Linked DNA regions of Elephas maximus indicus. The protein of the gene in region 3 purifies or fractionates together with the protein of the main gene of each other region. This does not show direct contact. Links are inferred from orthologs where the notes say so. Each region holds a gene or a part of one and is shown on either strand. Other genes may lie near its edges.

Region 1 (7,968 bases), on a different chromosome or scaffold from region 3:
ACTCCAAACATTTACTTTATTCCCAGGTAGCCTTTTTTTTTGACATTTACTTTGAAAAGGAAAGTAACTAGAAGCTGACTCATCTAAATAACTCCTCCAGGGCTTTACCTAACAAGCACTTTGAAGCCTCAGCAGATCAAGCCCTGGAGGGCAGAGAGCTGCTCCTCCTAGACCTAATGCCTATACTCTTGGGCCAGGGTCACGTACCTCTGGTGTTACTTACTTTGTCAGGAGAAGCTTCCCTCCACAGGGCCCCACTTACTTGCTCTCATCACCATCGAACAAGTGCGACGTGTTAGGAAACCTAGTTAAAAGTTCTACCCAAAAGCCAACTCCAAGAACCAATTACTACACCACTAAGGGAAGTACACTTGAGTTCGAGGTTTGCATTCTAAGAAATCTTTATCCCAGAAGACCCAGGTGCTCTGGGACTGCAAGAAAGGAATGGCCTCATTAGAGACTGCCAAGTGTCTGCACGTAACTAAGGGGAGTTGTTTCAGCTGTGACATCAACTCTTCTCTGGCGCGGGGGGGCGGGGGCGGCAAAAACAGTCAAGGGAATGGGCCTGAGCCCTCTGCCTAATAACGTAATGGCTGTGACACACACATTTCACAAATGACCACTAAGCTGTATCATAGCCCAAAGACTTGAGAATATAGCAAAAAAAGCAAACCCGTTGACATCAAGTTGATTCCGACTCACCAGCAACCCTACAGGACAGAGTAGAACTGCTCCACAGGGTTTCCAGGAGGGGCTAGTGGATTTGAACTCCCAACCTTTTGGTTAGCAGGCAAGCTCTTAACCACTGGGCCTGGCCAGGCGTCTTAACAGAAGAGATGATAATGAAAACAATTCAGAAGTACTGAGAAAATCAAATTGACCTAATATGGTTACATATAATGAAGCATGTGCCTTCTCCAGAAGAAGTCTGAACCTACAATATCTATTCTGTAAACACTGATCATCACTCTTTTGCTTCAGCATAAAGGTAACAGAATCCTGCCCTAAAGGCCTTGTCCTGGGAGATACAAAGAATTTTAGAATCAAATGTAACAGATACCAAAATTTAACAAGTTATCTCTGGATCATAATTCCATTATAATGAATCCCATGTAATTACTCTTACCTTTGTAGTCAGACAAGCTGATATCTTTGAACTGACCATCTGGCATAACGGCTGTAGCTTTGAAGTTGGGGGCAGGGTGCCCAATTTTAGCAGCTCCTGAAGACATCTTGTTATCAGCTGGAAAAGATAAAAGAAAATGAATTAAAAACAAGTCTTGTCTTTTTAGATACAAGGTAGCTCTCACCTACTTAGGGACTTAGTGGTAGAACCAAGAACAATCAGGTCCAGTGGTCCTGAACACAAAATTTTTATCATTAGTAATGCAAGCCAGCAGCCAAGAGTCACAATGGAAGGGCCACAATCTGAGCTTTCTAATTTCTGGACCAAACCCAGATGTTACAAAAGTCTCTGAAATCTCAGTCTTTGTTTTCATCTAAAAAGGACAATTTTTTAGTAAGTCGAAGTCACCTTTTCTGAGACATTATGAACCGGCATTTTCTTCTGCCTTTTCATTATACAGAAGCACCGAGAAGGGAGGGATAAGGTAGAGACTCTCAAACCAGAACCCAAGTACACAATGCACAAAGCCACCAACGCTGATTGCCTGACTCCCACAAGCCCTCATGTTGCCTTTCTGCCGACTGCACCTCCATCTATAAGATGTAAAGTGCACTGGAACTTTCTCCAGGTGGATGTGCCCAAGAAAGCACACGCCCTAAAGCCAATCCAGACCAAGATTCTGGCATCTGCTCAATTTAAAAACTTTAGGTATTGGATTTAGCCCTAGAAGTCTTTTCAAAATGGGTGTCTGGCCTCGGGGCCGAGATCCCGGAAGAAAAATCAGTGCCATCAAGAGTTCAGTTTAATGCATTGGATTCGCCCAGATCAATACCAAGATAAGGAGTTAAGATTTAACTCAATTAAGTTACCGGTTTGAAAACCCTAAGAAACTAATTTTCCCGTAATGCCCAAAGTTCTCGGTTCATAATACAATCAAAGGAAACGTTGTGCGCATGCCTAGAATCGATCTTCGCAAAGGTTTCACAGCCTGTATAAAATAAAAACTATTTTAACACCCTTTAACAAAGAAACCGTAAGGTACGCTGCAACTTGGCGACGGGGTGTGGCCCTAAGAGAAACAGGCTTCTCGTCCAAACCTGTTTTTCCAGGTGACCCCAACACCACAAAAGCCCGACCAACCAAGAGGAAAGTCTGCTGGACTTCCGGTCGGTGCGGCGCCCTCAGGAGACACGCTCCCAAACCCCCTAGAGAGGGCCACGCCTGCAAAGCCCAGTTCAGGTACCTTCTTGCCGCTCCCAACGTCACCCTCATCCTAGTAGTTCGGAAATCGCCAGCAGAAAAGATTGCGCATTCTTCAGCGAGGGAATTTGGGAAAACCTCACAGCAAATCACAGCTGAAGACCGGGGCCGCTTTCACCTCTACCACACAAAGACCGATTACGGGTAACCTTCTGCAGCCACAGCTCTGGTTCTAGGTCCACTCCAGAAGCTTCCCGAACCCGCCCTGCCTCGCAGGAGGCTAGCCGTGGAGCTCCCACGCCGCCTCACCCAGCCGCGCGCCAAGCCAACCAGCACACTTTGCTCGAGGGAAAGAGACTGGAGCGGGTGTAAGCCTCGGGGCTCAACCAGTCCCCGAAAGCACAAGGAGATGCGCAACGCGGGGTGAGGGGACCGCCCAAACACTTTCAGGCGCCAGGCCCCCGCGGGCCGCCTCGCCGGTCACGGCGCCTCCAACAGAGACTATGTGAGCCCCGGAGAAAAGCAAGAGAGCAGAAAGTAGCAACAGGTGGGGGGGTTCGCGAGGCCAAGCTACCTAGAGACTCACCAGTTGCAAAACAGAAGGCACCAAGATCAGCCAGGAAAAGAATTTGCGGAGCTTGCGTGGGGCGCTGCCTTTATAGTTTCTTGGGCTCTCGCGAGAGTCGGCGTGGGCCGGGGGTGCAGGAGGAGGAGAGGGAGGGGGAATCTGCCCCACTCGCAGTCGGGTCCCATCGCGCCTCGCCAGAATGACTCAGCACTTCCCCTCGCTGAGGGGCGGGAGTGGTCGCAGATAGTACTAATCGCCCCCAGTCATCACTGCCGCCACCAACGGCTGAGGTCGGAGAGTGGGATGCACTCTCGGCCGCCCTCAAGCCCAAAGTCCTCAATTAATTTATGATCTCAATGGGGGCCGGGATTCCTTTACTTCTAGGACCCCTTGCGCGCTGTGCCCTTAAAGCGCAAACCAGATTAAGGGTCCTCGCTGTCGCTCACGGAGGACATCCTGGGAACTACACACCAAGCCCTGAGAGAAGTATCTAAATACTTCTCAAATCGTCCCAGTCACCGCAGCGTCTGCCAGATGACTAGTATCCCTGGTTTCTGTACCTTGGATAAAAATATAAAGCCGCTTTATTATTCCGATTATTGGCTGAGCTGTTTTCCATCTCCCATCCATTCCTTCCACTATAGCTGAAGGGAATCTTATTGAAATGTGATCATGTCACTCCTTGGATTTGTGATTTAAAAACCAGGGCTCTGTAGTCAATTCCCTGAATTAAAAGCCTTATGATTTTGTTTTTTTAATTGTGCATTGGGTTACAGTTTACAGAGCAAATTAGTTTCCCATTTGATAGTTTGTGCATAAAATGTTCCATAAAAAATAGCATTGGTTTAATTCCCCACGATGTGTCAGGACTCTCCCCATTTCCTCCCTAGGTTCCCCATTTCCTTTCGTCCTGATTTTTTACCCCTCCCTGCCTTCTCATCTATCCCTGTGGGCAGATATTGCCCTTTTGATTTAGTTCAATTGGTTGTTCTAAGGAGCATGTTCCTCTCTAGTGTTTTTATTTTGTGGGCCTGTCTATGGTCTGGCTAAAAGATAGTCTCTGGGAATGGCTTGTTGTAGGGAAAAAAAAAAAATCACAAAGTTTAGTAAAGCAAAAAGAAAAGTTTTATTTGGCATATATGCAAAGAGGCAAAAGTGGGAAAAGGACAAGCATACTGTTAGGGCCTTGTCTGCCCAAACTCCAAGCAAATATTACAGAATAAAGTGGGAAAATAGACATGCCTGCTGCTAGAGCCATGTCTGTCCAAAGAACAATGCAGAATCATCAGTATATATTAACATTACAAATAGGCAAAACCATTAAAAGTTTTACCTTTTCACAAATGGGCTAGAAACCGTGATCCTATATTTTGAAGTGTCTTTCTTAACAATCATTGGTCTAGGCTTCAGTAATGATAGGAGGGTCATCATTGGCCTAACAAATCTTACTATTCACTAAATGCTAGTAGAAAAAGGTAACAATGGAAACCATATGGGTCTTCTGTGCTGTTTTACTAGCTTATGTGGAAGATTCCCTAAAAGATGTGTTCCAAGATTGTCCTAGCCATTGTCTTTATGCCTCAGGGCCCAGTTTATGTGTCCTTGTGAGTCTTTGTGGGTCTTAATTTAGAAAATAATATTGGGATTATTATTCCCTGTCCTTGAGCATAGAGAATGTTACCCAGCTGAAGCTGGGCCCACAAAGAGTCACAAGGACACATGCGCTGGGCCCAGAGATAAAGACAATAGATAGAGCAATCTTAGAAATTATCTTTTAGGGAAGAAAAATATCTTTTAGGGAACTTTTTACATAAAGCCAATCAAACAAAACACAAAAGACTTTGCACTCTTACCTTTTTCTATTAACATTTAGTGAGTAGATATTTGTTGGACCAATGAAGACCCTTCTGACTGTCAGTTACTGAAACCTATACCAATGATTATTAAGAAAAGCAATTCAAAATGTAATACCACAGTTTCTAGCCAATCTGTGAAAAGGTGAAGCTTTCAACGATTCTACCCATTTTTGTAATGTTACTAATGTAGCCTTCCTCCAGCTTGGGGCAGACATTATTAGCTCTGGCAGCATGCTTGTCTGCTTCCCACTTTTGTCTTTTTGAATATATGCCAAATAAAGCTTTCTTTTTGGGTTACTAAACTTTGTGATGTTTTTTCCCCTACAACAGTCCTTGTGAGTCCAGCTCCAGCTGAGTCACATTCCAGGACAAGGAATAATGGCTCCAATATCATCTACTAAATCATTCCCTCCTTTTGATTGGAAGTTGGAGATAAGACATCGATGATCAATACCTGGACTTAGTGGAGCTCCTAGATGGCGGCCATGGTAGGCTCTTTAAACTCACAGTGCTGGTTTTCCACCAGATACCATCTGGTTCTTCACCAGAATCTTAAGTAAGAGCAACGTTCTCATTAATTGCGTTGCTGAAGTAAGCAGACTAAATGTACATCAACATTTTAGCTCGAGGCCTCCTTTTGGCTTTTAGGTGTGTAAGACAATAGAAGATAAATTTTATTATGCATAATACTATCAGGATACAGACTAAAAATATTACTATCCCTTGCAATAGTGATCTAGCCCATGTACTTATTCCTGATGGTAACCAACTAAATAAATCTGGTATTTGTAAGGGTATTACAGTGTGTAACCAAGTAGCCTGTCTAATTCTATGTATATCCTGTTCTACTTCTCCTGTGTTATTTATCCAAATGAAACAAGAGGTATTTGCTACAGCACAGATTACACTTTCTTGGACCAATAAAAAAATCTAAGGCTATTCCATTATCTCATGTCACCTTGGCTTATGAGGTCAGAGATTGCTGTTGTGTTTCCACCCCATTAGCAACTTCATCTATTAGTTGCATAGTGATTGATAAATTTCTTAAAGATTTCTCCAATTCAACTATACCATAAGTAGGAATTAAAGCTACCAACAATACCCTGAGCGCTAAACCAATGAGTTTTCATCTGACTTTCATTTTACAATGTATAACAGTTTAACATTACCTTTCCAATATTTACTGGCATCATTACTATGAATATCTAAAGGTAATCCTAACATTCCCAAAGTGCATTGCCCATGCATTCACCAGAGATCTAAACAAGAGATTGCCCACGTAAATTCACTATCAATTGGAAAGGAGTCATCTAAACTAGTATAGTTGGCTCTACCACATAAAAACATATATCCACAAGGAGACACAAAGTTTGTCTGGAGAAAACAGAAAATATAGAAAAATTTACATGTGACAAACAGAGAATTAGAAAATTCACGATTAGCAAGATAATAGAGGATGGACCTCACCTGTTGGAGATCGTCAGTTAATCTCTTTAAAACATAATAAGTGTTCTTCCTGAGTGCAGGCTGCCCCTCTTTGGTTTATCTATTAACAGTCATGAGTCACTTTCTCAGAAGCAAAAGTGGAGCCTAAGACAATATGGAGTCTGAACCATGAGGTCGACCTCCTCTGAGAACCTGGTTTCTTTAAGATACATAAATTTCTACATAGTAAGAGGGTGAGAGTTTGATTATAAACGTTAGACTGTCTTGAAGACTAATTAAACGGATTACTGATTTACCCTAAACGTAACTCTCAGTCTAATCTTTGGAGTCAGTTTCCCCAAAAGACTGAATTCTTCAAGGAACCCTTTTTTTCCTCAAAGCTCAAGGTTCAAAATGACACCCAAAGGCAATAGCAAAGTTGTAAATATAAATGTCTGAAGTTGGAGCTATAATTTTAAAATATGAAATAGAACAGCATTTCCTATTATGGGTTACTCTAACCTCCATGAAAGCCAGAAATCTGGATTCCAGAAGAATTATAACTCTTTCATGGTTCCCTCCTTTGGATCATGATCTTGCTATAGAATCTTTGATCAAAAATGCTCAATAAACAGTAATTGGGCACCATCTGGTTTTTAAGATCCCAGGCACCATACAGCGAACTAGGAAGTAGAATAGAAACACTAACAATAGTATGAGGCCAACTGTCTGAAATAACTAATGAAACCATGACCCTAAGGTCTTTGAACCAAGAAAACAAATTTCATGAGGGGTTTATTTATGCATAAGCCGCATCAGTAACTGCTTTTCATGTTGTCTCAGTAGCAACTACATTCTGCAAAACCTCAGGTTGTGTATTTAAATAAATATAGCAACATTTATCCGTTAAGGCACAAAACTGTTCCTTGAGAGACTAATAGGAAATGCTGTTCTATTTTATAAAATTATAGCTCCAACTTCAGAAATTTATATTTACAACTTTGCTAAGTTTACCAACAGGAACTTCTAATTCAACAGTTAAAATATCCAAACCCATTAGTTAGATAATTTAGGAGAAAGAAAACAATTTCTTATATCTAGAAAGTAGAACCTTAAAGCATCAACAACATTCCCACATAAAACCCATAGTATCCTTTACTCAATCTTATGTAGTTAATTTCTGTTTCAGCTGGTCTGTAAGCCCATCAGCCTCTGCATAAGAGTTCTGGAAATTTTATTCAGTCTAGTCACAGTCCTTTTCACAAGTCCAATACAGTCCATCTTTTTGTTGAGAAATTTGGTCAAATGTTTTCAGCAAATCAGCAAAGTAAACACTTATCTGCAGATGACAAAACTGAATATGGCCATAATTAACTTATATAAATAACACTCTTAATTGTGAAACACTTGATAGAAATTAATTACAAGCATAATGTAAAGGCCAAATAAAATCAGTTAAAACACGTTAGATAAAAAATAATACTAAAAATAATGGTTAACCTTATTTCCAAAGAGCTTCAGATATAATACATAATAATCTTAAGACATAATACCATATAGTCAGGATATACCAAGATTGTCAAGTCTCTAAATACCTGAATAGTAATAAAAAAAAAAATTCATAGGTAAATGATGTGAATTCCCCAATCGAACCACTGATTTAATAAAGTTGTAACCCAGTTAGCAAGTAAGAAATAATAATAAAATTATGACACAATCTTATTCATTTATTGTCTAATATTTTCACTATTAGGCAAAAACATAAGAGAAAACACTAACATATAAATTTTAAC
Region 2 (7,231 bases), on a different chromosome or scaffold from region 3:
TCAGTTAAGATTTTTTAGTAAAGAGGAGGAATCAATTTTTTAACAAGCACTTTCCTTAGGTCCTGGGAACCAACACCGTATTATCAAGACACTTTGATAAATAAAAAGACATTCCTACCTCTCCTGATTTCCACTGGGTTAGCACCTTTGCTAATCTTCTCAAAGCCTTCCTTGGCAATAGAGCGTGCCAGGACAGTAGCTGTGGTGGTGCCATCCCCTGCCTCTTCATTCGTGTTATTGGCAACATCCTGAACCAGTTTGGCCCCAATATTCTTGTATTTATCCTTTAAGTCAATGGACTTTGCAACGGTTACACCATCTTTTGTTACTTTGGGACTTCCCCAACTCTGTTCAATTATCACTGTTCTTCCCTAGAATCCCAGAGAAGGGGAAAAAAAGACAGGGCCATATACTCTTAGTAATTAGACTAAAACAGAATGAACAATCTTAATAATAGGACAGTTACTTGAAAGCCTCAACGCATGATGTGTCCTTTTCATCAGTCCTGCAGCATGAATCTCAAGGACAAGGTCAACAGTCAGTTCATAGGCAAATAACCTCTGTTACTCAGCCAAATACATAATTTTTGATAAGGTATTATGAGAAATAAAGATTCTAACAACTAAAAGATGTCATTTTATATAATGAACAATAAATCAATACCAAATTGGTAGACCATTAATGAAATTTTAGAACATTCTTCACATTATTTGTACCTAAATTGTGCTTAGTGCCTAGTATCTTCAGAACAAGTACTCACTTTAAAATTTACTTATCAAGGCAAGAACAATAAGCTCCATCCAAGCTTATTTAACATTAAACCTCAAATCCGGCACAAGTAGTACTGGCAGGTTTGGGATTTGAACCCACCGACGTTGCTACTTTCTATTCATGAGGCATGCAAATGCCTGTGTTTTACAGTTTGGATTACTTTGGTATCTGAACTGTCTTCAATCTAAAATGGAACACCACTCAACCACACACCACCGTCAAAGGCCTCCTCTAGATGTTTATTACCTCTGAAACTATTTAGTCAAATAAGATTTTAAACTATAAATGTGCTTTAGAACAAGAATAGCAGAAAAACTCTCGGTAAAACTAGCATACAAGCACATACTTTAGGTATTATGGGAGATAAAAAGTTACACTCTGCCCTCTATACCCAGCACTAACTACTGGAAAAAGGTCCAAAATGTAAGTGAACAAGCATGCGATATGAGTTCCATCTTGAGTTTAAGAATCCATCTTGAGCTATGAATTACCACTCCATTACATCACACACTATGCAAATTATTTTTGAAACTTTGGCTGAAACACTAGGTTTTATGACCTTTACAGTTAAGGACAAAAAAATTAACCAATAATTTGTAACTTTTTAATGTAAATTTGGTTTTCTCAAAAAATGGATACCAAAGTAACACTACATAGTTCAGTGTATCTATCTGCAACAGTAAGATATCATTCCTCAAATATCATAATTAAAATAAAATACTGATACCTTTGGCCCCATAGTAACGGCTACAGCATCAGCTAAAAGATCTACTCCTTGAAGCATTAAGGCTCGGGCATCTGCACCAAATTTTACATCTTTGGCATAAGCCCGAGTGAGATGAGAAGCCAGTACCCTGGATACTGGCCTCATTTGTCGAAGGACTGCAGGTAATCGGAGCATTTCTGGAGGAGAAAAAAAGCAGATGAGTACTAGCACTACTCGAGGTGCGCTGCAGCTCAAAACACGCCACCTGTGCAATAAATAAGAAACGTTAAGTATGACCTCTGCTAGCCACAGAACGCGCCACGGCTTCAGAACACCAGCTACTAGCAAAAGCTTAAATCAAAAGGCTCAATAGTGCCTGCTCTGTAACACAAACACAAAGAACACCCATTTCCTTCTCCATGACCACCTTCTCCTGCCGCTAAAAACGAGGTAATGTTTCACAGCTAAATTGGCCCTCTAAACAAATCCCCTCCATTGGCGCTCCTAAAAATCCAAGCCAGCTGGAGAGAAGCACGTTATACACCAGAGCGACTAGGGAAGTGAAAATATTCCTGACGTTGCAGAAATCCGCTCAGGAAAAACGGATTTCATGTATCCACCCGCGGCTACTGTATCAGACCAGCTAGCAAGACCGCGATGCTGGCGGGGGCCACCCGGCCCACTCCGCGCGACCCCAGGTATCTGTCCATCAGAACACCCCCAGCAAGGTCAAGGGTGGAAGCGCCGTACCCCTACTGCCCCCGGAACTGAACTCGGTTCCCACGCGGCAGCGACCACCGTCGGCCACGAGCGGGTTGCACCAGAAGGCCCACGTGAACACAACCCTTCCCCTCCCCCGCCCCGCAGACTCTACCCGCGGAATGAGCCCTCCCTCCCGCGTCCTGCCCAGGCCCGCGCTCAGTGCCGCACGTGATGAGAGCCCACATAGACTAGTGAGGCCTGGCCCAGTCGGACCAGGCCTGCAACGCCGCGGGGAACTCCTGGCTCTCGCTCCGCCGGCCACACTGAGGCCGGGCCGCAGCCGACGAAGCAAAGATTTGGGGTCGGAGGCATCAGGGTGAGGCGGCCCGCGTACCTGCGGGGCGGCGGGCCGAGCGAGAGCGCAGAGAGACAGGCCGTCAGCGGCGAGTGAGGGACAGAGTGCAGGACGCACACGGCAATGAGCCCGTGTCCCCTCCCCCTGCCGTTCCCCCCGCCCCGCCGCACCACACGTGTGGGCGACTCCCGCCCCCTCCCCCGGGCCGGGCCCTGCAATCTGTACGCACCGCGCGCGAAGCCCGCCCCTTCCTACGCGCGCAGGGCCAGGCCAGCGGGCTCGGCCCCGTCCAGTCCGCTAGGCTAGTTCCCGGGCCGCGCTCGGTTCCAGAACTTTCCGGAAAGCACCGCGCTTTCTGTAGGTCAAGGGTTAAATTGCATCATTTCCGGGGGGGGTACGGAGGGATAGTTCCTTCACCTCTTCGGGTGGCCTAGAAAAGCCTAGAAAGAACTGCTCAATTCTTCCGCCTCCAGATCCTCGCGTCAGCGGCCTGCGCAGCGCTCTCAGACGAATCGCTGCACGCGCAGGTGCGACCGCCCCCTCGCAGGGTGGGGCGGGGGCCGGGAGACCGCGCCTGCGCGCTGGCCGCTCTTTTCCCACTTTCACGTGTCCCGAGGGCCAGATTGCAGGCCTCTCCTTGCGGCGGCGTAGCGAAGCTGGGTAGGGGCTGCAGCTACCAGAACTATGGTGAGTCCCGTGTGGGCTGGAGGCTGGCGGGGCTGGGTCGGTCTGAGGCGCATGGAGAGCCCGGAGAGCCCCGTTGGGGCCTGGCCGGAGAGGCAGGGGTGACTTAGTGTCCGCCACTCGCCTGGACCGTGGATAGAGGAGACCCTCAAGGAGAAGTCGTCCGAGCCGGAAGGCAAGGGCCTAGCCTACCCTTCCCAACGCCGAGGGCTGTTCTCGCACGTGTCCTGTTGCAGCATGAGTGTGGGGAAGGGGGCGGGAACCCAGACACGCGGGGCGGCCAGTTTACTTCTCCGCTGGGTCTTTGTGTAATCTGTTGGAGAAAGAGCATGACCCAGGAAGGGGGATTGTCTACATTTCCTGAAAATTTCCAGAAAAACCTGCGGCAGGAAAATACTTGACCTTGAAATAAGCTGAAATTGCCCTTAAAGCTGGTACAGTTACTGACTGGAAGAGCAACGACGACTGCTAACAGATACAGGGAATGGAAAATTAAACGTGGACTGTAGAGTGGAACATTGAAATTTGATTCCTCTATTAGTAATATGATTTTTGGTGTTTATTTTTGAGAGCTAGAATGTGTCCTTCGATGTAACGCCTTCATTGGTATTGCTTGTTCAGAATGTGATTTTTTGCTACAAGTAAAAACTTCGTCTCTACAGGCAGGACAGGCATTTAGGAAGTTTCTTCCCCTCTTTGACCGAGTATTGGTGGAAAGGAGTGCAGCTGAAACTGTAACCAAAGGAGGCATTATGCTTCCAGAAAAGTCTCAAGGAAAAGTACTGCAAGCAACAGTAGTAGCTGTTGGATCCGGATCTAAAGGAAAGGTAAACGAGGTCTAAAAATTTTTTTGTGTGCGCAGGGAAAGGGTGGAATAAGAAATCATGGTTTATTATTAAAAGCAGCCTTTTTAATAGCTGTGCCATCTTAAAATCATTCCGTGGTTCAACCACCTTTAATCTGCTTCTTCGACAAAAAATGATTGTGAGATTTTTAGGATGGTGATTTCCAGATTATTAAAATTACAGTTAAAATGAAAGATTACGGTTCAGTTAAAGTGCCAGGGCTTTAAGAATTTAGAGCGGTTTTGTTGGAATACCTATGAAAGGAACAGTTTGAATTACCATTCCAGGTATTCTCGGATTTAGTGGCTGGATCTTAGGTCTCTTAAGTGTGTCAGCCAGAATACACAGTAAATGCCCTTGAGGTGAAGTATGTTAAATGCATCCTCCAGATGGCTCTGAAGAGAGAAAGTTCTAGCAAGAAGCTATCTTGGAGTTAAGCATTGGGAAGTTCTGGGCCTCTGCATCAGCTTTTTCCCCTGGAAATCATCTGTACGTTGGAGGGAAAATAAATTAATTACAAAAGAAGTTTATGTTTTAAAGTACAGAAAACTTCTGTAGGTTGTAAGAAGGTAAACATGACCATTTTGGTATATTTTGTATAGTTAATAGGTTAATATTTAACAAATACGGAGTTGGCTTTAGTTAATTAAAGTTAGCTTTTCCAGCATAACCCCTTGAACATTTACACTGAAATGGGGATTTAAGTCGGGACATGTGTATTGTTTTAAAAGTGTAACCCTTTAAGGGGATGTTAATGACTGAAGAATTAGCAGTAAAAGCGTATATTGCTGTTGGTGAAAAGAAAATGTTGTCAACTAAATTATTTGCCCATTAAATGCATTTTTAACATTTTTGAGTAAGCATATATGGTTGATTATAGTGGTTTAAAAGTTACACGTAAACATTTGGTGAGCTAACGGTAAATATCTTTATATTGTTAAGGGTGGAGAAATTCAGCCAGTTAGCGTGAAAGTTGGAGATAAAGTTCTTCTCCCAGAATATGGAGGCACCAAAGTAGTTCTGGATGACAAGGTGTGTAACCTTAGTAACTTTAAAAAGAACTTATTTACTGTTAACTGTCTTAACTAACGGTTTTTTTTTTTTTTACAGGATTATTTCTTATTTAGAGATGGTGACATCCTTGGGAAGTATGTAGATTGAAATAAATCAATACTGAAATGGCATCACATGAAGCTGCCCATTCCAATGAAGTTCTGAAATCTTTCATCATGTAAATAATCTCCATGTTTTTTTTTTTGTAATAAACTAATGATATCTAAGCTAATGATATCCAGCATCTCTAAAATTTAGTTTTGCTGTACTAGTACAAACATTTCTAAATAAAAAAATGTAAATCAATGGTTGATTTTTGTTTAGTGACTTTAGGGTTCTGTGGTATATGCTTTTTTTTTCTCCCAGTAACCCATAGAGAATTCTGGGGAACAAGGTTGTTTTTTAGATAGAGGCATTTTCACACTTAATGTAGCTTTATTACATAAATCATGCTGATAAAAATCAATGGGTTCACACTTACAGTTTAAAATATATAAACAACATAACAGGCTTGTAATGGTAAAGTACTGTTCTTAACTCCTAGAAACTATGTTTTCAAGGTTTTGCAAAATTTATTTAGTGACATGAACGTTTCTAGTTTGTAATTTATTTGGCCAAAAAAAAAAAAAAATCCAAGGCAGGATACATTAGCTAACATTGACAGTGCTTTTTGAATGTCAGACTAGGCACCGTGTGATAATGATAGCTAACACTAGTAAGCATTTTCTAGGTTGCTGACTGCTGTTGTAGGTGCTGTGCATATATTGTTGACATAGGAGCTCTAAGTACTGTTCCATTTTGCAGATGAAGAAGCTGAGGTACAGAAGGATTAATAACAAGGTCATTCAGCGGGAAGTAACAAAGCCACGGTTTAGTCATAGCAGTTGGCACGCCTTCAGAGGCTGTGCTTGAAAACTTGATACTTTTAAGTTTTCTCTTTGCTACTGTGTCAGATAGATACTTTAAACACTTGATATACATTACATTAGTTAATCCTTGGGATAATCACCTGTGGTAAGGGTGGTGGGTGGTACCTAACAATGCCTGGCTCCTGGTTGTCAAGTAAGTCTCACTCATGGCAACCCAGGATGTGCACGATACAACTGCTCCATAAGGTTTTCAAGGCGGTGACTTTTACAGAGTAGACCCGCAGGCCTGTCTTCTGAGGTACCTCTGGCTTTGAACCATCAACCTTTCAGATGGTAGTTGAGTAACCATTTGTGCCACCCAATGTCTCCTGTCCAGCACTTGTGTGCTGTTAGTAGAACTGCCCCATAGGGTTTCCTAGGCTGCAGTCTTTACAGGGCAGACTGCTACATCTTTCTCCCACAGAGTGACTGGTGGAATTGAATTGCCAACCTTTGAACAGCTGAGTGCTTAATCATTGCACCATCAGGGCTCCTTTTTCTTGGGACTTTGACATCTAATAATTTGTTGAATTTAACACATAAGGAAACTGAGTCACAGAAGTGGTTAAATATCCTGCTCTGGTGTTTCTTAGTGGTATCAGTAGCGTTAGGATTTGAACCCAGATAGTATTGTATCAGAGCTGATTATAACAGCCCCTAAACTGACTACCAGCTACTAGCTATTTCTGTCTTAAAAGGGCAAAATTTATTTTTTAGTTTTAGTTTCTTATGAACTATTTTGTGATCTTAAAGTTGTTTTCCATTTATGTTGAGTGGACTTGGAAATTATAAGCGGCAGGGAATAATAGTGTGCTATGTAAAAAAAAAAAAAAAAATTTATGTATGTTGTGTATGTGTGTAGTTAGTATATACCTCCCATGTATATGGATTTAGCCACAGGATTTAGATAAAAGAATTATGACTAAAATCTCATTTTTCTTACAGCACCCAAGAGGGTCACCAATTTCCTACTCTGCCCCAGGCACAGCTAGATAATGTTGCTGTGAATATCGTAACATTGTGAGCACAGATTTCTCTAATGAAAAACTGACTCAAAGGAGATGAAATGTATTCAAGGCCATGTGGCTGATAAATTGCGAAATTAGGAATCCAGTCCAAAGGTCATGGCTTTCCACTTAGCCTCTTGCTGTTTGCTGCAGACCCAAACAAATGGGTTTTGGGATATAAGGTGATAGTTCCCAAGCCT
Region 3 (7,144 bases):
ATGAGGGTATCCCTCATTTTTGCTGAACTTCGATTTTATCAAACATGATGTCGTTTTCTAGCAAATGGTTTTTCAAATGATGTGTCCAAATGGGAGAAGAGGAGGGGAATCACACCAAAATGTATCCTGTAGCTCCACTCTCCCCACTGCCCACCAAAAAAAACCCCACTGTGGATAACCTAGAACAACAGTTCTCAAAATGTGGTCTGAGAACCCCTTGGGGTTCCTAAGACATTTTGGGGTCCAAGAGGTCAAAACTATTTTCCTAATAATAATAAGATGTTACTTGCCCTTTTCACTCCCATTCTTTGACAAGTGTATAGAGTTTTCCAGATGTGTGATTGCAACTGATTGAATGCAGACACAGATATGAGAATCCAGATGTCTTTTAATAACCGGAACATTAAAGAGATTTGCACAAGTGTGAAACAATGCTACTCTTCTCAATAATTTTTGTTTGGGTTTTGGAAAATAGTTATTTTTCATAAAGAATTTCTTTCTATTTCTAAATGAATAATTTAAAAATTTTTTCAGTTTCACTTTCTAGTATAGTAAATACTGATACATCCCACAGAAATCAAAGCTTTTTGAGATCGTCAACAATTTTTAGGAGCATAAAGAGGTCCTAAGACCAAAAAAGCTTGCTAGCCTAGAAGACAGTGTGGGCAAGTATCGTATTAGAGTTTAGTAGTACATGCATGTGCGAATTCAAAGACATACATCTTGGAATCTACTTGTTTATGCAGTGTTTGTTTCTGGGGAGATGGACCCTTAAAGAATAATAACCAAGTAATATTTAAATCCACTAGAAAAAAATGAGTTCCAAAGTAATCTTATTGAAAGGCACAGACCAGAAGGGCCTCCCTCATCCAAACTTACAGAAGCTAACAAGGGGTAAAACTGGGACTAGACCTCAACAATTTTTGTTAAGCAAAAAAATAAAATAAAAAGTTCACTTTTGTCATAAAAACAAATTACTATTTATCAGTTCTCTTAAAACCAAGTACTCCTGTAGATGGCTACAGCCTCAAAGTAAACAGTATTGACATCAACCATAACTGATGTCCATAAGTCTGTCACATGTTCAAGTCAGCATTTTGGATCTTAAGTCACCTAAAAGTGACACCAGTCATACGGTTAATTCTGAGATGACGGTTACAAATAGACTTTTTTCTCTTTACAATTTTAAGTCATTTTTTTCATTGAAAACATAACATGTATACCAAAACCAAACTCCTTGCTGTCGAGTCAATTTTGACTCATAGCAACCCTACAGTCACAATAAAAGATTAAAAAAAAAAAAAAAACATTGCTGTCAAGTCGATTCCGACTCATAGCGCCCCTATACGACAGAGTAGAACCGCCCCATAAGGTTTCCAAGGAGCAGCTAGTGGATTCGAACTCCCAACCTTTTGGTTAGCAGCTATAGCTCTTAACCACTACGCCACAAGGGCTCCATAGCATGTATAGTGTGTAAAAATCGAAAAATACCTTTCTGTCCTTAACCTCTTGTTTTGATGGATATCGAGATTTAAGAAGGCTAGATTAAAACTTCAGCTATACCATGCACATGCCTAAGAGTATTTCAGGCAGTTAGTCTACTGCTACAATCAACTTCTCTTATAAGCCAGTTAAAAAAAAAAAAACGTAGGAGTGCTGTTAAACGGAGTACTGTCGTAACTCTTGGGGTAGGCAACAAATTTGTAACGATAAAAGTAATACAGAAGAGACAGAGGGAAAGGACAAGTACAAGCAAATTAAACTGAAAGTTTAATTTGCTTGTACTTGTAATTTGCTGTCTGCATCACTCAACTAGCAACGAAAAAGCCTTGCTTGTGTTCTAAAGGTTTTCTCCGTGTGTTTTAATTTAATAAAGCAAAACGGACCTTCTGCGATTAACTTTTTCCTTTTCACTGTAGGTCACAGCCTCATACTTTACATGTAGGGTGTTGGCCACCTGTTCTTCCACCACCGTCTCTATCTCCACCTCCTCCTTTGTGGCCACAGCAATGTCACAGCCCATACATGGGGGAGGGGAGCAGTCAGGAACTCGGCTGCAGATGCATTTTTTTCCAAACACAATAACCTCAAACGGTGGTCTCTAAGCACTTTTCTATGCTCTTCCAAAACCTGACCTCCCCTCTTAACCACACATCCCTCTACACACTGAAAAGGCCCACTATCCATCCAGCCTGCACTCGAAAGAGTTTATACCTTCGCCCTAGGGATGCTAGATACAGCAGAGAAGACAGAAACCAAGGCAGTCGAGCGCCAGGGAACAGAGGAAAAGGTGCGGGAGCAAAGAGAGAGAGGGATAGGGAAGGACAACGAGGGGGTGGGGACACCGGGGCGCTACAGGAGTAATCTCCACCGCACCGGACCGCCCCGAGAGGCAGCCGGCCCGGCCCGCGAGTTTCTCCTCGGCCGCCTCCAGCCGCAGCTCTCGGGGAGGAGGAAGGAAGGGGTTCCCCGTCCAGGAAGCAGCAGAAGCGGCGGCCGCCTCTAGCCTCACCCTCTTCAGCCCCACACCGCCCATTCCTCACTCCCCGCGTCGCCGCGTCCCCGCAACTCCCCCTGCAGACCACCCCCCGCACGCCCGGGCTCCGCGCCGGCGCCCCCTCCTCGGCCCTCCTGGGACCCCTAATTCATTCACTCGCCGCCGGCCCCGCCCGGCGCCGGCGCAGAGGGTCGGGACTCGGGCAAGGGCCCAGAGGGGTGGTCCGCTCCGTACCTCTCTCCCGCACCTGGGAGCCGCCGTGCCTCTGGCCCCCACCGCCGCCTTCACTGCCTGCGCCGCGCTCGCTCCCAGTCCGAAATGGCGGGGACCGGGAGTACTGGCCGAGCAGCCGCCACCGCCGCTACCGCTGCCGCTGCTGCTGCCTCCGCCGCCGCGGCCGCCGCCTAGGGAAATCGAGCTCCGAGCACACCGATGAGTTCGGGGCCGGGCGGCCGCAGAGGGCAGAGCTATCGATGCGTTCCGCGCTCGATTCCTCTTCTGGCGGGCGTGCGGGGAGGGAGCAGTCGAGGGCGGTGTGGGAAGAGGGAAGAGAGGGAGCCTGCGAGCGCCGCCGGGGAGCAGGAGGGGGCGGGCCGACCGAGGAGGGCGGGGGACGGGCTGGCGGCCGCGGAGGGGGCGGGCCGACGGAGGAGGGTGGGGGCCCATCGAGCGTTGGAAGGAGGGTCTGGGGTGGTGGAGGAGGGGGCTGGGGCTGCGGAGGAGGAGGGCCGGGGCGGCGTGGGCGGTGCCTCCGCAGGGAGGGGGGGATGCCGGGCCCACGCGGCGGGCCGCCCCCAGCCCAGGCTCCCGTGTCTGAGCGGCCGGCTCGTTGGCAGATTCCGACTCGCACAGGCTCGCGGTTGGCTGCGTGCACACCAGAGACACTATAAGACACCCCACTGCACCACTATCAGATCTGCACGGGGAAGCTACGAAAATTTCGCCACACCCTGGGGTAGGCCTATTGCTGTGCACTTTCAGTTACTATCATTTATTGTATGTAAATAAATATGCAATCACCAAATATGGAAAGCGACTTTGGCGACTCAGAGAGAAGCAGACAGTTCACCCCGGGGCAACCAGGTCGCTACCTGATTTTATCAGCACGGGGGGCGGATTACCCAATAAGCAACGCACTCACGGGCTTAATTATGCTCATTTACTAATCTGTAGTGCACAATTTCAGCTGGTTTTACGTGGTGAAATTGTGCACTACAGATTAGCAAGTAAACGCAATTAAGCCTGTGCGTACCTTGCTTACTGTAAACCAGTGCATACCGCTCTTTCTGGTTAATCCCTGATCGGCATAGACGTTCTGGTGCTGGGAACCTAGCTCCAGGCCCAAACAATGCTTTCATCATTAATTTTACGGGATGGAGCTGACTTTTCTTGGCATTTTGGAGACATCACAATGTCTCTCCAAACTGGCACCTCAGATGTACCCATTGGTCATGGAAGCCTTAGCAGAAGACAAGCTGTTTTGAAGTAAAAGTGCCCTTGATAGATTAAAGGACAATCATTGAGATTTTAATTAGAAGACTGAAGATTATTTAGTTAACCTTCACAGAATAAACACATTAACAGTGGAGCAACTAAATATGCTAACAAACCCAGCGACTGTGCTGATTAACTACTTAAAAAACAAAACAAAAAAAAGCCCCTTGCTCTCCAGCCGATTCCAACTCTACGAACCTATAGGACAGAATAGAACTGCCCCATAGGGGAAAAGATTGAAGTTGTCAAGGATTTCATTTTATTTGGATCCACAATCAATATTGATGGCAGCAGCAGTCAAGAAGTCAAAAGATGCATTGCATTCAGCAAATCTGCTGCGAAAGACCTCTTTAAAGTGTTGAAAAGCAAAGATGTCACCGTGGAGACTAAGGTGTGACTGACCCAAGCTATGGTGTTTTCAGTCACCTCCTATGCATGTGAAAGCTGGATGATGAATAAGCAAGACCAAAGAAGAACTGATACCTTTGAATTGCGGTTTTGGAGAAGAATATTGAATATAACGTGTACTGCCAAAAGAACAAACAAATCGCCTTGGAAGAAGTACAACTAGAATGCTCCTTAGAAGAATGGATGTCGAGACTGTGTCTCACATACTTTGGTCATGTTGTCAGGAGAGAGTCCCTGGAGAAGGACATCATGCTTGGTAAACAGAGAGTCAGCGAAAAAGAGCAAGACCCTCAATGAAATGGATTGATACAGTGGCTGCAACAATGGGCTTATGCATAACACCGATTGTGAGGCTGGCACAGGACCAGGCAGTGTTTCATTCTGTAGTACGTAGGGCCTCTATGAGTTGGAACTGACTGGATGGCACGTAACAACAAAAACAACATAGGGTTTCCAAGGAGTGGCTGGGTGGATTCGAACTGCCAGCTGTAGCTCTTAAACACTGTGTCCCCAGGGCTCTGATTAATTACCTAGAAAGGTAAATTGGGAGAGTTTTTAAGATTGAGGTGTGGCAGACCAGCACCTATACTTAATATAGACCCATCTGAGTACTTCCAGTTCTGTCCCTCTAGTCCAAAACATACACCACCAATAAAACAATTGTCTTAAATCCCAACTCTTCTGTCTGTTAACCAAGGCCTTATAAGGCCAACTTTTCTTCCTTATTTCTTCTTTTCCTACCCTTTAAAAAAAAAAAACCAAACCCAGTGCCGTCAAGTCGATTCTGACTCCTACCCTTTATATGGGCTGTGATCTGCAAGGCTTATTCCTGTCTCACTTTCTTAACACTCAGGCATCAGGTAGAAGAGGCAGAAGAAGGAAGGCAGGGAATGTGCCTCCTCTATGTCAACTATGCGCTAAATGTTGTACGTGTATCTTCTTTAATGGTCAAAACAAACCTCATGAAGTAGAATATTTTTTCTCTATTTTACAGAAAAAAAAAAAAAAACATTGCCATGAAGTCGATTCCAACTCATAGCGACCCTACAAGACAGAATAGAACTGCCCCATAAGGTTTCCAGGGAGCAGCTGGTGGATTTAAGATGCCAAAGAGGAAACCAGTTAAAGAGGTTAAATGTTGGGTCCAAGTTCACAAGCTAAAATGTGACATGTCCTTCAAGTCAGATCATGTTCTCTCCTATGCTCCCAGCTTCCCAGTGACTCCCATCCCACTTAACATAAAAGCCAAAGTCCTTTCAAAGGCCTGCACCACCTTAGATGGTTTGCTGACTTTCTCTTTACCTCTTTTATCCTCTTATTCTACCTACTGCCTATCCCATTACTCTCCCCTTCTTCATTCCACACACACACTGGGTCTTTGCTGTTCCTGGAACATTCCAGGCAGGCTTCTTCTTCTGGGAGTTTGCACGTGCTGCCCCTATGTCTGAAACACTTGTCCACTCTATATCCACCCTCAACCTACTTTAAATCTTTGTTCAAATGTCTTCTTTTAATGAGGTCTTCCTAAAGATAATCTTTGATGTTACAACTCCCCTTCTTTCCCCCAAATCCTCTCTCTCTTCCTGCTTTAGTTTCCTCTAGAGCACTTATTGCTTTCTAATACAGTATACACAGCCCTGGTGGCGCAGTGGTTAAGAGCTATGGCTGCTAAACATTCATCAACAATTTGAATCCACCAGCCGCTCCTTGGAAATCCTATAGCTCAGTTCTTTTTGGAATTGATTTGACAGCAATGGGTTTGGTTTTTGGTTTGATATACTATACAATTTGTTGACTTTTATTTTCTCTCTTTCTCCCAATAGAATACAAGCTCAAAGAAGACAGGGATTTTGCCTGTTTTTCTTACGGGTGTATTTTCAGTGCTTACAACATCTCTGAAACAAATAACACACTCAATAAATATTTGTGGCATGTCGAATGAATGAAGCCATGTACCCTCTTCCTGAACTCTGTGACTCCAAATCCTTACTGAGAGTGCCGTAAGTGTCTGCCAATCTCTGTCGTCACCACTTTACAAAATCTGCCTTTAAACTCTCCCAGGTCACCTTTCTGATAAACCTGTGGAGTCTAGAAAAGTGTCCAGTACATAATGGACACAATGAATTTTTGTTAAATGAGTGAATATTCACTTATTTGTATGTTACTTTGTAGTCACTCTTAGGTGTCAATCACAGATTTATTTTGTGTAGCTTCAAGTATGTGATAAGCTCTTAGATTCTCTTACAGAAACTAATGCAGTGGTCTCCCTGTAGGTGGCCCTCTATAAATCTTAAAAGACCTGTAGTATAAAAAAAAAAAAAATAGAGGAGGGAAAAGCTTTAAATAGCATTTGAATGCTAATAATATAAAAATTCTGACATCAGCAGAAACCTAATCCATCCACATGGTCTTAGTTACCTTCTCTAGGCTCTTGATCCCCAAAAGCGAATCTGCATTCCACTATTCTCTCCATGAACCCTCTACCCCGGCTACAGCTCACACACTTTTCTCTCCTTCCTTTTAATTCCTGCAGCAACTTTTGTCTGTTCTGTCAGGCCTTCTCACCATTCAGCCCTGGGTGCTTTCTCAGAAGCCAGCAGCCTCACCCCATCACTCCCGTTCTTCCTTGACACAGAGCTTAGAGCAGTGGTTCTCAAACTTAAGTGCTTAATGAATAACCTGGCATGCTTGTTAAAAACACCAGTTCTTAAACCTCTCATCCAGTGATTCCGTTCAGTTGATCTA
Region 4 (7,199 bases), on a different chromosome or scaffold from region 3:
CTCCAAGCCCAATAATCTCCCTTTCAGAAGGCTTCTTGGTATAGGTTCAGGCTTTTGACTGCAAGATCTAAGTCAAATAATTTATTATGACATTAAGTTAAACATACTAGATTAATAAATACTCTGAACCCACCCACCATGTTATACATAGTCTCACTCAATCATGTAAAGAATTGAATTCTTTATTTGTGATATCCATAAACGTTGCTATTCTATATTTCTATCCAGGAAGGCAATTTTTTCCTATTATCATTGTTCTTTTTTTTTTTTTTTTTATAAACAACAACTTGAATTCTATTGCATGAAAGGGCTACAAATATACATTTGTTAACCAAGCAGAGTACACATATTTTGTTTTACAACTTGCACCTAAGATACCAGTACATGTAGCTGGCTCATTTGTTGTCATAGCAATTTGGGGCTATTACCCAAGCTATGCATAGCAGTACATTTTCAAAACTCATGTAGAAAGGGCAACTGTGATACAGATTGTTAACTACATTCTGTGAAGCCCATTTCAATTACAAGTAAATGTGTAACTTCCAAGTCAGCACAGACTTTTGATGGTAAAACATCCAAATCTGATGCAATTGTCCTAAGCAAGTTTTTTAACAAATTGTTTTGCAGATATACTGCCATTCTGCCAGTAGATGGTGCTACAAAGGTTGGGGGAAAGGATTTCCATGAGGACAACGGTTCAGGTACAGGAGGAAAAAAAAAAAAAAAAAAACGTTTAAACCTGCTCTGAAAATACAAAAACGCATTAGTTTCAGGGTAAAATATAACCCTTATTTGTAACCATTCATTACCTACAAACCAATAAGAGGGCTGAAACTAGGCCATCAGAAAATTTTTAAACAGTTTATATGAATGAAAACACATGCTTAACACAAACTATTTCTTTAGAACTACACAATACATACTTTGAAGTAAATTCTCATAGAAATAAGTGACCAACCATGTCAAGATGACAAGCAAATCGCTAAGTACAAGAGATGGATGCATAGAAACTTAAAAAGAGTTTAAAAAGCCACATCCACCACTTCAAAAGTTTTGCCTGTTAAGGGATAAAATTCAACAGCCACTAGCAGGGCAACAGGAAAAAAAAAAAAAAAAACCCACAGGACTTCTTAAAAGTTTCTCTAAGCACACATCAAGAATTAAAAATTAACACGAAAAACCTTCAACTAATATTCCTCAAAACAGTACGGAATGGATCCTAGGAAAAAAAGGTTAGACTTATACGGTCAAACACAATGATTTATTAAAAATAAAACGTAAAAATGATTTTTGTACATATGCTTCCAAATTTCAGGCATGGGATCCCAGTAGATTTCATAGAAAACGATGCAGCCAGGTATCAAGTCCTTACAACAAAGTAAACTACCCCCCACCCCAACCCCCACCCAGGTTTTGCTACAGAATCAGCAAGTTCACTCCCTCCCCCCCCCAAAAAAAACACAAATTAAAACAAGACATTTTGCTAGTATAAAAACGACCAAGGTCCAAGTAATAATAAAAAAATAGAGTCCATCAATGACTGTAACACAAAAATGTGTATGTGGGGCCGAGTCCATCTTCAGAGGGAGAGACAAGAGAGGTGGCAGGCAAATAGGGCAACACCCCCAAGGGGAGGCAGCCTTAGCGGCTCCCACGAGGGCAAAATGGGGAAGGCGGTGGGAAAGGGAAGGGACTTAGGAGTTGACCCCATTTGGGTTGTTGAAAGAGCTACCCCTATAGCCACTCCCAGGCATTTTTAAATTTTTTTTTTTTAGAAGGAACTGCCTCCATAGCCACCCCCACCGCCATAGCCGCCTCTGTAAGGTCCACTGTTACTGCGACCGCCCCAGCTGCTGCCTCCTCCCCCGCCGCCGCCGCCGCTCTTCATGGGCCCATACGAGGACTGATGTTGGCTGTAGCTGCCGAAGCCGCCGAAACCGTTACCGTAGTCGCTTCCACCGTAGGACGAACCGCCGCCGCCGCCTCCGTAGGCATTGTAGCCGCCGCCGCCACCGCCGCCGCCGTAGCCACCGTAGCTGTTGTAGCCGCCGCCGCCGCCGCCCTTGGACAGGCCGTTCTGGTCTCGACCGCCGCCGCGACCTCGGCCGCCTCGGCCGCCCCGAGAGGACCGGGAGCCGCCTCCGCCCCCACCGGAGTGGATATCCTCCTTGGGGACGGCCTTCTTCACCTCTACGCGATGGCCCTGGATCGGATGGAACTTAACCACCGCGGCCTTGTCTGCCGCGTCGTGATTCTGGAAATACACGAAGCCGAAACCACGCTTCTTGCCAGACTGCTTGTCGGCAATAATCTCGGCCTTTTCCACGGTGCCAAACTGCGAGAAATGCTCGATCAAGTCGCCCTCGGCCACGTCTCCCTTAAGGCCCCCTACAAAGAGCTTCTTAACCTTGGCGTGGGCGCCGGGCCGCGCCGAATCCTCCCGGGACACCGCCCGCTTCAGCTCCACCGTGTTGCCGTCCACGGCGTGGGGCGAGGCAGCCATGGCGGCATCGGCCTCCTCCACATTGGAGTAGGTCACGAAGCCGAAGCAACGGGAGCGCTTGGTCTGGGGGTTCACCACCACCACGCAGTCCGTCAGAGTGCCGAAGGCCTCAAAGTGGCCGCGTAGGCCCGACTCACTCGTCTGCACGTTGAGGCCGCCGATAAACAGCTTACACAACTGAGAATTCTCCATCTCCACGGCACGGGCCTTCCCCCCGCCCTGCGAGCTCCGAGGTTTCGCCGTCGCCGTTATCGTTGGCTAAGGCCTCTTCAAAGCTTGGGCCCAGCCTTCGCTGGAGCCACCACCGCCGGTCACCGACGGGGAAGGGAAGAAGGGAAGGGGAGGGAAGGAAGGAAAAAAGGAAAGGGGAGGGAAGGGGAGAGGTGCCGGCTAGAGGGCGAGCTGAGGAAACTGGAAGACAACCAAGGCAGCCGCTACCGCCGCCGCCACCTCCGCTCCCCTATCTGGGCACCACACAAAGAGGCCGCTGAACGCGCGCGCACCCTCCCCGAGGTGTGCGTCACCGCCGACGTACGGCTGCCTAGGGCTGACCGCCAATCCCCGCCTTGCTCTTGTTAGTCCCACCTCCTGCGCCGCAGCGCCGCTCTCTACCACGGGCTTCCCGCCCTCCGCGGTCTATTCAATCCCTCGACCTAGTGGCTCCTGCCACCACCTGTACCGCCCCGTTTCCACTCTCTGGTGTCCTATGTGCCCTGAAGAGGAACTCTCCCTGCGCTTGACGCGTCTCCACGATTCATTTCCTCCCAGCCCCGCAGCTGTTCCCGGTGACTCGCCCCCTCCCCTTTCCTGTTCCCTTCGCCCAACTCCGCAGTGGCGTTCGCGCCAGCCCCTTGAGAGACATGGCAGTTTAGCCAATCACAGCAATCTCCTCGCACCCACTTCCGTTTTCCGGAGCCGCTGGACGGACGCGCACCCTGACGCGCGATGGGCCCGGCGCCCCCTGTGTGCGGAGTCTGCTTTCCGCTCCTACGCTTCTTCCAGCCGGGGGTTTGGCGGGGGAGGGAGCGGAGGCGCGCTGGGGGCCGTTCTCAACGGATGCGGCCTGGGGCGCCACGCGCGGGCTTTTTGAAAACTTGACTGTTGGGGTTGGGGGCCTAGGTTTACCCGTCGCCTCTAGGCCTGGTTGCTACACTTGGCGTAGGCGCCTTTCCTCCGTATAAAGATGGAGGGTAGAGGCCTGGTCCAGAAAGGCAGTTATTAACCGTTTACAGTGGGCCCGACGTGCGGTTAAGCTAAAACACTTGACACGTTGTCCTGCGCAAATCGAGCCCGAGGCAATGTGAAAGAGCGCAAAAAGCGCGGCAGAGTTTCCGACCAAGGCGAAACGCCTGGCCCCCTTCCCTCCCTCGACTGCAGATATTTTAATTTTACCTCAGTGCACACATTTTAAGTTTGATATACATTATGCGTTGCCTTCTCAGTTAAAATGTTAGCTTTTTAAAAATGTTTTCTATCGGACTAGGAGTGAAGGTAACTAAACATTTTATAGATAAATACCAATAAAACCAAAACCAAACACATTGGCCGTCGAGTCGATTCCAACTTATAGTGACCCTATAGGACAGGGTAGAACTGCCCCATAGGGTTTCCAAGGAGCGCCTGGTGGATTCTAACCGTCAACCTTTTGGTTAGCAGCCTGTAGCACCTGACCATTAGGCCACCAGGGTTTCCATAAATATAAATCCAAACAAAAACCCAGTGCCGTCGAGTCGATAGGCCCTGATAATTGCCTTAAGGGGCCTCACTCAGGTGGCAATACAAAAAAATTATAATGGCTTCCATTTATTGAACCTTTGTGTGCCAAGCAAGATACATGGAGTGTGACATAGTTATTAAGTGACAAAGAGCCCCCAAGTATTGCTGTCAGGTGCCGTGCAGTCGATTCCTTGGCCTGTGGCCTCCTCCCATTTTCAAAGCCAGCAATGGCCAGTGAGTCTTTCACATTTGATCGCTCTGACACTGACTATTCTGCCTCCTAGAAAATCCAAGATAATCTCTCTATGGTCAACTGATTAACAACGTGAGTTTCATCTGCAACCTTCATGCTCCTTTGCCATGTAACATAACATAGTCACAGATTCTGGGGATTAGGACATGGGCATCTTTGGTAGGGGGGTGGGCATTATTCTGCCTGCCTGAGTGGGAACAAGAGAAAATGAAGCTGGAAAGGTAAGTAGGGGCTGAGCCAAGGCTTGTGTATGTCTTACTGATTTCAGCCTTTAATTCTGTAACATGGTGCCATTGAAGAGTTTTAAGGAGAAGGATAACAGAAATTTACATTTAAAAAGATTGCCGGAGAGTGGGCTGTGTAGGAGAGTGATTAGAGGCAGGGTATGACTTGAGAAGGGAGCCCATTTAGAATGCTAGTATTTACATAATACTAATAAACATTTCAAGAGTCAGAAGTAAATTCATATAACAGTAGTCAACGTTTCAAGGGCCAGAAGAAAGGAAGAGGCAGTAGGGATTGGTTACGAAGGATGAAATACTGAAGAGATATTTAGGAGTCAGAATTGACAGGATGTAGTGATTAGTGATCCACTGGTTTGGGTGGGTAAAGTTTCTTATTTTATGGTAAGGTGAATTATGGTTTCATTCACCAAAATGAGGAAAACTGAGGAGGTAGGCCAGGTGGGTTTTTTTGTTTCACAGTTGTTGGGAAGGTAGCATAAGAGAGGGGAGAGTGGAGATGTGGCCTACTGCAATATGCAGTACTCCCTTCTGCCTCCTAATAGAATCTACGACTTTTAGCTGGGCACTTCGCTTCCGGGCATAAAGACAGCTTTTCTTGCAGTTTAGTGTAGCCATGTGAATACATTCTGGTCAATGAAATGGAAACAAAAATACTGAGTGGCAGCTTCTAGGAAACTTTCTCAGAAGACAGCTAGCACATACCCTTTACTACTTCCTCCTCCTCCCTCTCCCCCTCACCCTTCCTCTTCCTCCTCCTCCCTCTCCCCCTCACCCTTCCTCTTCCTCCTCCTCTTTCTCTTCCTCCTCCTCCTCCTTTTCTTCCTCCTCCTCTTTCTTCTCCTCCTTTTTCTCCTCCTTCTCCCTCTCCTTCTTTGTTACTACCTCTATCTTGCAGCTTAGAATGTATATGGGATGGCTTGGTGCTCCAGTAACTATCTTGAACCTAGAAGCTGAGAGTCATACCCCATTGATGATAGCTGGAGTTAAACACCAGAAGGAAACTAGAGTTCAGAACACCCAGAGACTGCTATCATAGCCAAAGACTGCCTACCATGGGGCTTAAATTTAGGCCAGAGAGAAATAAATAACCAGTTGCCATCAAGTTGATTCCAACTCATGACGGCCCAATGTACATCAGAGTAGAAATGTGCAACATGGGGTTTTTCAATGGCTGATTTTTTGGAAGTAGATCATCAAGTCTTTATTCCAAGGTACTTCTGGGTGAACTTGAACTTCCAGCCTTTTGATCAGCAGCTGAGTTCATTAACCATTTGTACCGCCCAGAGACTCCAGAGAGAACTAAGTCTATCTTATTTAAACCCCACCTGTTTACATTTGTTGTTTTTTGTTTACATGTAATTCTAAATGATACAAGATTCAGTGATCTCTACTTTTGTCTTGCAAATGCCCACTGGAACTCCAATCCAGTGCCCTGTGCTGTCATACATTATCTTATTGACTCCCCACAAGGATCTCGAGAGGTATGTTTTATAATGTCAATCTTCTAGTTGAAGAAACTGAGACTTTTAGGCATTAAGTTGCTCAAGATCTGCCAATTCTTTGTCACCTTGACTTCTATCACACAAAAAGAGTTCGTGCCCAACATGCCAGGCAAAGGAAATGCAATGCACTAGAAGCAGGAAAAGGAACCCAAGCACAGTGGTTAAGCGCTCGGCTGCTAATCAAAAGGTCAGCAGTTTGAACCCACCAGTTGCTCCATGGGAGAAAGATGTGGCAGTCTGCTTCTATAAAGATTTACAGCCTTGGAAACCATCTGGAGCAGTCTGAGTCTGTCCTATAAGGTCACTATGAGTCAGAATGGACTTGACAGCAATGGAAGAGGCAGGAATACATATATGTACATATCCTTCTGAATTCTTTTTATATTTTTCAAATTCAAAATAAAAAAATCTTTAAAATTCAAGAAGGACTGTCATTTTCAATCATTAATGTGGATGATTCACCTCATATGGGCACAGATGGCAGGAGCTGCAATATGACCATTTAAGCAAAGAGAACACCTACTGTTCAGTTTACATGTGAATCTTCATACTTGAAGATTACTCTAGTGGAAGAGCCACAAAGAACCAAAAAATGGAGGGGCTAAAGGTAGGGTCAGAAGAGGGAGAAAAAAAGTGAGCCCTACATCAAGAGAATAAATTCTAAGGGCAAAGGCCTCAGAAATGTTATTTTTTATATCAAAGTGATTCAAGAACTACAATTAGGAGTTCATGAAAGTACAGTCTAAACCTCCCCCTCCCCAGAAAAAAAACCAAACCCGTTGCCGTCCAGTCGATTCCGACTCGTAGCGACCCTATAAGACAGAGTAGAACTGCCTCATAGGGTTTCCAAGGAACGCCTGGTGGATTTGAACTGCCGACCTTTTGGTTTACAGCCATAGCTCTTAACCACTATGCCACCGGGGTTAAGCACTGGAGACTAAATACACATTTTCTACAACTTCCTCTTAAAACTCCATTAA

Evidence for each region.
Region 1: the proteins of KRAS (region 3) and PRDX1 purify together in Homo sapiens (affinity purification with mass spectrometry; 3 studies listed by BioGRID and IntAct, with this or other methods). This does not show direct contact. The link is inferred for Elephas maximus indicus from reciprocal best matches to the Homo sapiens genes KRAS and PRDX1.
Region 2: the proteins of KRAS (region 3) and HSPD1 purify together in Homo sapiens (affinity purification with mass spectrometry; 3 studies listed by BioGRID and IntAct, with this or other methods). This does not show direct contact. The link is inferred for Elephas maximus indicus from reciprocal best matches to the Homo sapiens genes KRAS and HSPD1.
Region 4: the proteins of KRAS (region 3) and HNRNPA0 purify together in Homo sapiens (affinity purification with mass spectrometry; 3 studies listed by BioGRID and IntAct, with this or other methods). This does not show direct contact. The link is inferred for Elephas maximus indicus from reciprocal best matches to the Homo sapiens genes KRAS and HNRNPA0.

The regions. Positions count from the first base shown.
Region 1 is NC_064821.1:87,927,543-87,935,510, forward strand, and holds the start of PRDX1 (peroxiredoxin-1), read right to left. Parts: upstream 3,014-7,968; 5' UTR 2,913-3,013; intron 1,244-2,912; 5' UTR 1,233-1,243; coding exon 1,127-1,232; intron 1-1,126. UniProt on the Homo sapiens protein: Thiol-specific peroxidase that catalyzes the reduction of hydrogen peroxide and organic hydroperoxides to water and alcohols, respectively.
Region 2 is NC_064824.1:95,839,822-95,847,052, forward strand, and holds the start of HSPD1 (60 kDa heat shock protein, mitochondrial), read right to left. Parts: upstream 3,016-7,231; 5' UTR 2,952-3,015; intron 2,857-2,951; exon of another isoform or gene 2,764-2,856; intron 2,665-2,763; exon of another isoform or gene 2,574-2,664; intron 2,291-2,573; exon of another isoform or gene 2,228-2,290; intron 1,675-2,227; 5' UTR 1,673-1,674; coding exon 1,499-1,672; intron 372-1,498; coding exon 119-371; intron 1-118. Other genes in the region: MOB4 (MOB-like protein phocein), read left to right, coding at 3,219-3,221, 3,881-4,045. UniProt on the Homo sapiens protein: Chaperonin implicated in mitochondrial protein import and macromolecular assembly. Together with Hsp10, facilitates the correct folding of imported proteins.
Region 3 is NC_064822.1:83,951,797-83,958,940, forward strand, and holds the start of KRAS (GTPase KRas), read right to left. Parts: upstream 3,016-7,144; 5' UTR 2,745-3,015; exon of another isoform or gene 2,732-2,744; intron 1-2,731. UniProt on the Homo sapiens protein: Ras proteins bind GDP/GTP and possess intrinsic GTPase activity. Plays an important role in the regulation of cell proliferation.
Region 4 is NC_064820.1:150,740,626-150,747,824, forward strand, and holds HNRNPA0 (heterogeneous nuclear ribonucleoprotein A0), read right to left. Parts: upstream 3,003-7,199; 5' UTR 2,696-3,002; coding exon 1,772-2,695; 3' UTR 164-1,771; downstream 1-163. UniProt on the Homo sapiens protein: mRNA-binding component of ribonucleosomes. Specifically binds AU-rich element (ARE)-containing mRNAs. Involved in post-transcriptional regulation of cytokines mRNAs.